2 linked regions of the Canis lupus familiaris genome follow. The protein of the gene in region 1 interacts with the protein of each later gene in a pairwise test. Links are inferred from orthologs where the notes say so. Each region holds a gene or a part of one and is shown on either strand. Other genes may lie near its edges.

Region 1 (4,408 bases):
TACACCTGCAGAAATTAGGTCTCAAGCAGCAAACCAAGTCTCAGTCATTCAGTGTTGGAACTGAGATTCAAACCCAGATCTGTGATTCTGGTGCTCTTTGAAGCCTCTCCACAGGCACGCGTGCTCACACACACACACACACACACACACGCATATGCATACACCACAGCACTCCAGCACATTCTTCTCCCCAATTTGTTTGGGGCAGCCTTAGGAAATTCCATGGCCCAAGGGAGCAGACTAGAGCCGATGTCAGTCTGAGCTCCGCAGGGAATACCTTACTGGCATTCTCCACTAGGGGCTTGAGGCAGTTATTGTGCTTTCTTTTGTGATGTGTCACTCTCCTCTCAGAGATCCTGGGCAATCCCTCTGGAACAATACCCACAATACCCCACCCCTAACCCTCCCATGGAACAGGTGTCATGCCTGCCATTCCTGGACTCAGATTTCGAAGTCATCTCTCAGGGAGGGAGCAGGCGCTTCACTGAAAAGAAGTCACTTGCACACCTGGAGTTCTGCTACTAAAAGCCCTGGTTAGTTTGGGAGACTCAACATATACCCTTTCCTTCCCCCGTCCAGCTTGAGTTCAGAGTCCAGGATGGAAGGGAAAGGAGGCAGAGCTGGCGACGCGTGTCCCAACCAGGGCAGGGTCAGCCAACTCCTTGGAACTGGAGGCAAGGAGAGAGGAGGGAAGGCATGGTCCCTGCAGTCCCCCCTAAGCCCCGGTCCATGTAGCATGTAGCGGGCCCAGAAGCCCCACCCTGACATCCCCCTAGTACCAGTCAGCAAGGAGGGGAGATGACGCCTCTTTATTAAGGTTAACACCAAGGAAAGCATTGAGAAGGAATACACAGCGGAGGAGAAAGGGCACACAAAGTCACTACTTGAAGAGGTGGGAGGGAGGCACATCAGTTAAGAACCTCAGGACAGCCACATGCTCCATGCCCTGGTTGTGGGGAAAAGAGGAAAGGACAGGGGAAAGCGCCATGATAGCCTGGGGCTCACAGAAGGATCTGAAGCCCCCTGAACCTAACACCAGAGCCACAAGCCCTGCCCCTCAGGGCTCACACACTACTACACAAGTCGACACACATAGCACACACAAGACATCATGGAGGCAACACCGAGAGGCAGCGGGCAGGGACAGATCGACAGGAAAAGGAACTGAAGTTAAGCGGGTGTAGCCAGGAGAGAGACAGTTTTTGGCTGCGGCCCCCAAGAGTCCCTCAAACGTCCCCTAAATCTGGGCTGCTGCTGAGCACCCCAAGTCTCTGCCTGTGTACTGGGCTCTTTGTTCTCTAAGCCCCAGTGAGTGGATAAAGCAATCCCAGATGAAGTCAGTGACAAGGCAGGATCCGCTCTGCATGCAAAAATCCTAGAGGTTGAGCTATTAGGTCTTCATGCACATTCATAGCCAGCTCCTCCCAGCCCGGGGGCCCGAGGAACCCCATTCACCCAGATTCCTAGGGCTGCAGTTCCCTCCTCAAGCTTCCTTTACCAATCAGCAGCCGCAGAGATCTGTGAGGGGGAGAGGCTTCTGCAGAGCGCTGAATATCTTGGATTTCAGCAGAAGGGTAAATTTTCTGTTGCCAGAACAGAATACCCCCAACTCCTTAGTTTCTAGGTAAATCGTTAGAGATTATTTGCCATAGTCCTAGATAAGTCCTTTTTCAGAATAGAAAAAGCAGAATTTTATTTACACAATTCAGGGGTTCTCCTGTTGGCTGGGGAGGGGGAATGGGCAGGGTAGGGGATGGATGGGAGTCCGGAGATGGGCGCTTCCTCTCCCGGAACCTCACCTTTCGGCCGTTCGCTAGGTCTCCCCTGGTTAGGCAGAAAGAATCCTTGAGCTCCCAGGGTCCTTCACCCTACGCATCCTTCCTCGAGGCAGTCTCTCTGCCCGACCCACGAGAGCAGCGGTCGGAGGGAAGCATGCTGCACCGCGCCGTCCAGTCCCCTCGCGTCATGCACTCGGAAACCCAAAGCCAGCCCGGGAAAGTGGCGCCCCTCGGAGTCCCCTCACAGAGAGGCCTCGCCCTCCAGCTGCAGCAGGGTAATGTCGGGCGGGTCGAGGGGCTCCACAAGTGGCCCGTCCCCCCCAAGGAGACCGGCACAGGGGCTCTCGGGGCGCTCACAGTGACTAGTGGGTGTGGCGGAGCCGGGCGTCTCCTTCTCGTCTTCTTCATCGTCGTCCTGGTCCTCGGGATCGCGACCCAGCAAACCGCTGTCCCCGATCGCAGGCGAAGGGGTCTCCGGCTCTCGCGGGGCGCCCGGGAAGCTCCCCTTGCCGCCGACCACGCCCAGGCCGCCCTGGCGGGGCGCCGTGGTCATGATCTGGCACATGGAGACGATGGCCCGCTGGTTGGCGCACACGTCGTCCGAGAGCACCTGGATGTGCGAGGCCTGCTCGTCCAGGGCCCCCCGCATGGCCCTCACGTCCTCGAACAGGGCCTGCAGCTGGGCCTTCAGGTGCTCCATCAGTTCCTTCATGCCGCCGTTGTACTCCGCGGAGATCACGTCCCCCACGGCCGGCACGGTGGACACCTCCAGAGGTGCCGGCATGTCGCCGCCGTCCTTGGTCATGATCTCCAGCGGACCGTCCTCCATTGAATGGCAGAAGCGGGCGGCGGCGTCTGGGTCCGGTCCAGCCCGGCCCCCGGGGTCGGGGTCGGGGTCGGGGGTGGGGGAGGGAGGGAGGGAGGGACGGGGCAGGGGGAGAGGCCCCCGGGGGGGTGGCGGGGAGGGGCCGAGGGAAGAGGAGGCTCCCGAGGGGGGCGGGGAGCCGACGGGAGAGGCGAGTCCCGAGCCGAGCGAGGGCGCCGGCACGGTCGGAGGAGGCCGGGAGGAGCCGGCGGCACGCGGACCCTCCGCCTCGCCCCGCGGCCCGAGCGCCCGCCCCCGCCTGGCCTCCCGGACTGCGCCCGGGTCAGCGCCGCCCTCCGGGCGCCACGAGCGGCGAGTGCCCGCGGGCTCTCGGGGTCCCCGAGGCGCTCGCGGAGGCCGGCGGCGGGGACCGCTCGGGACTACCCGGGCCGGGAACCGGCGGCGCCCGCGAGCGTGCCTGGAGTGGCAGGGGCGGGCCTCCCAGCCGCGCCGCGGATGCGCCCCTGTTTCCAAGGCGACGCACGGCACGTAAATGACGTGCGTCTCCATGGCAACCGGGAAGTGGCGACGAGCGGGGAGCGCGGCGGCGGAGCTGCAGTGGGGCGGGGGTGCTGCGGGGGCCTCCCGGGGGGGAGCGCGGCCGGCGGCCTGCGGCAGGGACCTCCGTCCGGGTCACGAGACGTCGTCCTGCCTCGGCGCCCGCTGCCTTGGGAGCCCCCCCGCCCCCAGGCCTCCCTTCGGTCAGAGGATGGCGCCAGCGCCGGGCCTCGCCGCTCTGCCCCCGGCCGCGCGCACGAAGCGAAGGACCCGGAGGCGCCCGGGAGCCGGCCCCGCCCGGCCTCGGGGTGCAGAGCGCGGGGCGGGCGCCCCGGAGGCCTCGCCTCTGGCTCCGGCCTCTGCAGCGCCCCCCCCCCGCCGCAGGCCGCGCGGAAGCGGAGGAAGCGCGCGACTCCCTCCCAGCTGAGCCAGCCGGGGCGGCCCGGGGCGCGGGGAGGATTCCGGCCCGCGGAGGCCCGCGCTTAAGGCCCGAGGACGGAAGCTCCCCAAGGTGCGGGCATCCTCGGCTCCCCGCCCTCAACCCCGGAGTCCCCGGCACCTAAGATAGTGCCTGGCGCGTAGTAAGTAAAACGCTCTCTGTGTTGGTTGAATGAACCCTCGGCCAGAACCGCGGGGCGCCCCTGTTCCCTCCTCCAGAGCTCTGCAGCCCACACAGCCGATTTCAGGGGACCTGAATCCGATTTTGTTCCTGCCTTGGAATTCAGAGACCTTGGGTATCGCTTCTCTCGGCCTTTTGGCCGTAAGACCAAGTGCGGAGACCTTGGATGAATAACTTTCCTCATCTGTTAGGGGATTGGATTGAATAATCTACAATATTATCTCTAACCCTGACACCGCATCAGCTCACGGGTGAAAGGGATGGATGGGGACAGTGTGTGTGAGGGCAGTCCCCCTCCCCCCACCCCCAGGGCCCAGTGTCCTTGCACAGACATCCTCAAGTGCCTCACAAAAGTGACGACTTTCCCTCTTTGAGGAGCGGAGTGGGAAAGGGGAGGAGGAAGAAACTCTGAATTTAATACGTTCACAGATCTGACTTGAGGTTGAGAAGCAGAAGCACCTGGGCAGCAGCACACTCACTAGTAATGACCCTAGCAAATTGGGAGAAGCCAGGCGGTCAGGAGCTAAAAATGAATTTCGTACGAGGAAATAAATCTAAAGAGGAGAAACAAACTGGACCACTTCAAGATGGGGAAGAGCTAGATCTGCGTGAGATGTTTTGTACCCTAGTAGTTCAACAATAGCCGAC
Region 2 (4,471 bases), on another chromosome or scaffold:
AGCAATAGACAAGGAAAAGAAGGACAAAGATAGGGAGTTTGGTCAGATTGGAGGAGGAAGGACTGGCAGGCACTGCACGTTTCTGCAGCCATGGTGGCAAATCCAGAAAGACCAACACAGGCTTTTCATTATCACCCCTTCAACTGCCACTGAGGCCTGTGATTGCAGACTCTGCTGTAGGGAATTAATTGGCTTCTAGTTTCTCTCAGGTGTTATATGCCCAGGCACATGGGCCTGTTTCCACACAGAACATTCAATGAGCCAAGAGACATGCTTCTTAACATAGTTGCTTTGTTGGCTGGTCTGTCCAGCATACCCTATACCCTCTACTCAGGTGGACTACTCACTCCCCAAGCCCAGGGGTGACAGGTATTCATGCCACTTCATTCCTACCATCCTAATTTTCCTTACCTCAGTTCACAGAATCCTAGAGTGTCAAAGATTTAACAGAAAGAGAACAGAAGTGAGGTCAAGTGATTTGCCCAAGAAGCATCCCCAATATGAAGCTCTTTGCCCACATTTTCCTGTCCAACTCACCAAAATATGCCCCATTTCTAAGCCCACCTCACAGCTTCATCTTTAAAGTCCTAGATTATTTATTGTAAAAATCTATGTGTCTCAATTACATACCCTCTGCTGTTTCTCACTGTTGCTTTTCGATTCCCTGCCAGGTGCTAGGTCCCTTGAACATGGGGTTGTATCTTATCCACCAGGGCTTCTCAAACTTTAATGTGCACCCAGATAACCTAGAAATATAGTTTAAAAAAAAAAAGGAGAGTCTGATTCAGAAGGTCTGGAGTGGGGCCTGAGACTCTGTATTTCTAACAAATTCCCTTGGTAGTGGTGCTGGTGCTGCTGGCCTAGCACAGCATTTGGTAATTGGCTGATGGCTGCTTTCTCTTAGAAATGCTGAAGGAATCCGTCAAATCTGATAGACATTGGTTTTCCTGTCTGCAGTGTTTTAAAGGGATAATAAAAGTTTGTCTTTGTTATGGGTAGGTAGAGTAGTGTGGCTGGTTAAAGCATGGGTTTCAAAATAAAAGCTAACCTTTACCAAGTACTTACTGTGTGTTAGGCATTGTGAAGAACACTTTATATCATTATTGGATTTAATCTTTGGAAAGAAAAATGTTAAGTAAAACACAAAACCATTGTGTTATGTTTGGGTTATCAGATAATGAAGACCAATTTAAGTCATTTCTCTTTCTCTAGGACTACCGAGTGTCTATAGATTTTGAATACAGTGCTCCTTTAAGAAAAGCTTTGTAAATCCACTAGAATTTTTATATCAGCTGATAGTTTAAAAATCATGACTGATTTCTCACAATAACCACTTATTTTGTGCCTTATATGAGGATGTGGAAAGTGTTTCAAAATAATTTGAATCAACTAAAAGATAATGGATGCTTAACCTATATAAGTCAGATAAGTGAATTATGAATTTATTAGTATAAAGTTATACATCTTATTTCTGGGTTTTGGGGTCTTAAGAATAGTAAATTTGGCCAAAGCAAAAATGCATTTGTCTTGAGAATTCTTTAGAATTCAAAATCTAACTAGTAGCAAGCATTTGTTGATTAAAAAATTTATTTTCGTTCTCTAAAGGAAAACTCATATTTCTGACCCTTTTTTTCTTGAGTTGAGAAAATGTGTGTGTATGTGTATATATGTATTTTTCTGATTTTACAGTAACTCTTTTGTCTAAGTACTGTTGTCTTCATTTTATAGGTGTGGAAACTGAGGCTCCATGAAATTAAATGACTTGTCCACCCTTGCACAGCTACTAGGACTTGACCCAGGATACAAATTCACATCACTTTTTAAACCATTTATTTTGAAAAATTAAAAACTTACAGAAAACTTTTGAGAATGGTACAATGAACATCCATATACCTTTCCTCTTGATTCACTGATTGTTACCATTTACAAAGCCCACATTCTTAGCCACTTTACCATTTATTCAGCATATTGTGACCTTAGAATATTACACAACCTCTCTGTATTTGATTTCTTTATGTGCAAGTAGTTAAAAATATCTATACTGAGTGTTTTAAAAATGAAGATAAAGTGGGGCGCCTGGCTGGCTCAGTTGGTAGAGCATGTTACTCTTGATCTTGGGGTCATGAGTTCAAGCTCCATATTGAACATAGAGCTTATACACACAAAAAAAGTAAAAATGAAGATGTGAGTCCAGCAAATGTTTATTGAGCTGCTACCATTCTGGGATGAATCCAACATATAAGCCAGATAAAAATCAAGATAGCACATTGTATGCCCTCATAAAGTCAGATGTTGGACAACAGACAGTGAAGGGATACACTGGGCAAATTCAGATGGTCTAAGCACTGGGAGAAAACAAAGCCTTTAAAGCAGTCTGGAAGGCTTCCTGGAGGAGGTGACCTCTAACCTGAGGCTTGACTCATGAAAGGGATCGAACCACGTATAGTGGGAGCAGAATGGGCCAGCCTACCCAGAGTGGATGCTGAAGATCTTTTTATTCAACAAGAAAGGGAGATTGTGGAGTTTCCCCTTGTGGAGATTGTTTAGAAGAGAGCACATGCTCTCAGGTAGACCAGATAATAACCTCAAGAAAGGGCTGGCCAGTAGGTTTTCCAGAGTCTGTTCTAGCTTTGTGCATCTATAGCTCCTCACAGAGTGCTACAAGCATAGATTTCTGAGAAACAATCTTTGTAAAAGTGTCTTGACTTCCTTGGCAATTATTTCCCTTTAAGCTTGTAACTGTTAATACTAATAAGCTGTGTTATTAACTAATGGCAGTTGCTGTCCAAGGAAGTCTGATTTGTTTTTCTGGAATCTCAATAAACTTTTGTTTCTAATTTAGAAATTGGATGAAGACGTACATCAAAAAATTGCAAGAGAAATGAACCTCTCTGAAACTGCTTTTATTCGAAAACTGAACCCAACTGACAACTTTACACAAAGTAAATATGCTTTTTTTTTTTTCTTTAAGCCATTCTTGAACAGTAGCAGAAGCTACTTTTCCAGTGGGGGAATGATATTTAAGAGAGATGCCCATATACTATTTGCATACAGACAGGAGAGAAGGTGGGGAGATTCTAATTTGGTTTTGTTCATCTGGGGGAGCCCTAGGATGTTAGATAATTTGAATGTTTCTGCTCCAGATCTGTCACTGGGGAGCCCTAGGATGCTGGCCTAGACTTCACTCCTCCTTCACAGTGTATTTCAGCTATTATTATAGTGAAATATTTAGAAAAGAATAAGAAAATGAAAAGTTTGTGACCACTTGTATGGGAATGATCTTGTCTCTCTTTGGCTTTCCTTCTGAAGGTTCCTGCTTTGGATTGAGGTGGTTTACACCGGCAAGTGAGGTTCCGCTCTGTGGCCACGCTACCCTGGCTTCTGCAGCTGTACTGTTTTACAAAATAAGTAATGTGATTTTCTTTTATGAACCTATAACTGAGCAAATAGCAAATATTTTTAAAAATTGTCACTCTTTGTAATGAATCAAAGTGACTGCTATAAAGACATTGCTGAGTCTATTCATGCCATTCATTACACTGAAACAAATATAGCCCCCGAAACTTTGGCCTTTCTGAGTATGTTCCAGGCCTGTAGGAAAGCCATGGTCATTGTTCCCTAGAACGCCATTTTATTTTTTTATTTTTTTATTTTTTTCGCCATTTTATTTTGAACACGAGCTCTTTGGTGTCTGACCAGCACAGGAAAGGAGCTTGCAAGACCCAATAGGCATCCTACATGATGTGACATTTTGCTCCAAATATGTCCCCACCCACATTCAGACTCATTTCACAAGAGCTTCTTCTTCTTTTTGAAGTAAACCATGCTCAACATGGGGCTTGAACTCACGACCCCAAGATCAAAAAGTCACATGCTCTATGGACTGAGCCAGCCAAATACCCCTCACAAGAGCTTCTTCACTCTGATGTTTAAAGATTCATGAGCCCCGACTATATACATTTTCCTTGTGAAGAAATGAAGCTGCACCGAAATTCTACCAGTTTTCATCTTAGCTACATTTAGTATAATAAAGATTAGGGCTTGGTGGGAATGAGGCAGAAGAGAGATGCCTAGAAACACCTTGTAAGTGGAGATGGAAGCAGCCATGAATAGGTGTAGACAACAAACAAGAACTTAAACAAGGAAATAAACAGGAAGATATGATGGAGTAACTGTAAGGAGAACAGAGTTGGAAAAGGAGGTTCTCTGGGGAGTTACTTAGATAGGGACAATACTGGGAGGTGTTACAGCGCAAGTTTCCCTAGGAAGCACATTGCATGCCAGAAGAACTGTGGGCAGTATTCTTGAGTAAAGAAAGCTGAATAGAACAGAGGGAGAAGTTGAGCTGCAAAGTGGTAGCAACAAAAAAAAGGCATACACCAAATCCACAGGTAGATCTGAAGCTGCGAAGATCCTTCAGGTGGTACAGTTCCAAATAGAAACAAAGCTTCAGGCCTTTATACCCTTCATC

The links. The genes of interacting proteins can lie anywhere in the genome.
Region 2: the proteins of CCDC184 (region 1) and PBLD interact in binary tests that used the Homo sapiens proteins (3 or more experiments, as listed by UniProt). The two-hybrid records come from large-scale screens. The link is inferred for Canis lupus familiaris from reciprocal best matches to the Homo sapiens genes CCDC184 and PBLD.

The regions. Positions count from the first base shown.
Region 1 is NC_049248.1:40,009,065-40,013,472, reverse strand, and holds CCDC184 (coiled-coil domain-containing protein 184), read right to left. Parts: upstream 2,697-4,408; 5' UTR 2,608-2,696; coding exon 2,020-2,607; 3' UTR 1,897-2,019; coding exon of another isoform or gene 1,895-1,896; 3' UTR 1,825-1,894; coding exon of another isoform or gene 1,814-1,824; 3' UTR 790-1,813; downstream 1-789.
Region 2 is NC_049225.1:20,241,360-20,245,830, reverse strand, and holds part of PBLD (phenazine biosynthesis-like domain-containing protein), read left to right. Parts: intron 1-2,842; coding exon 2,843-2,942; intron 2,943-3,309; coding exon 3,310-3,408; intron 3,409-4,471.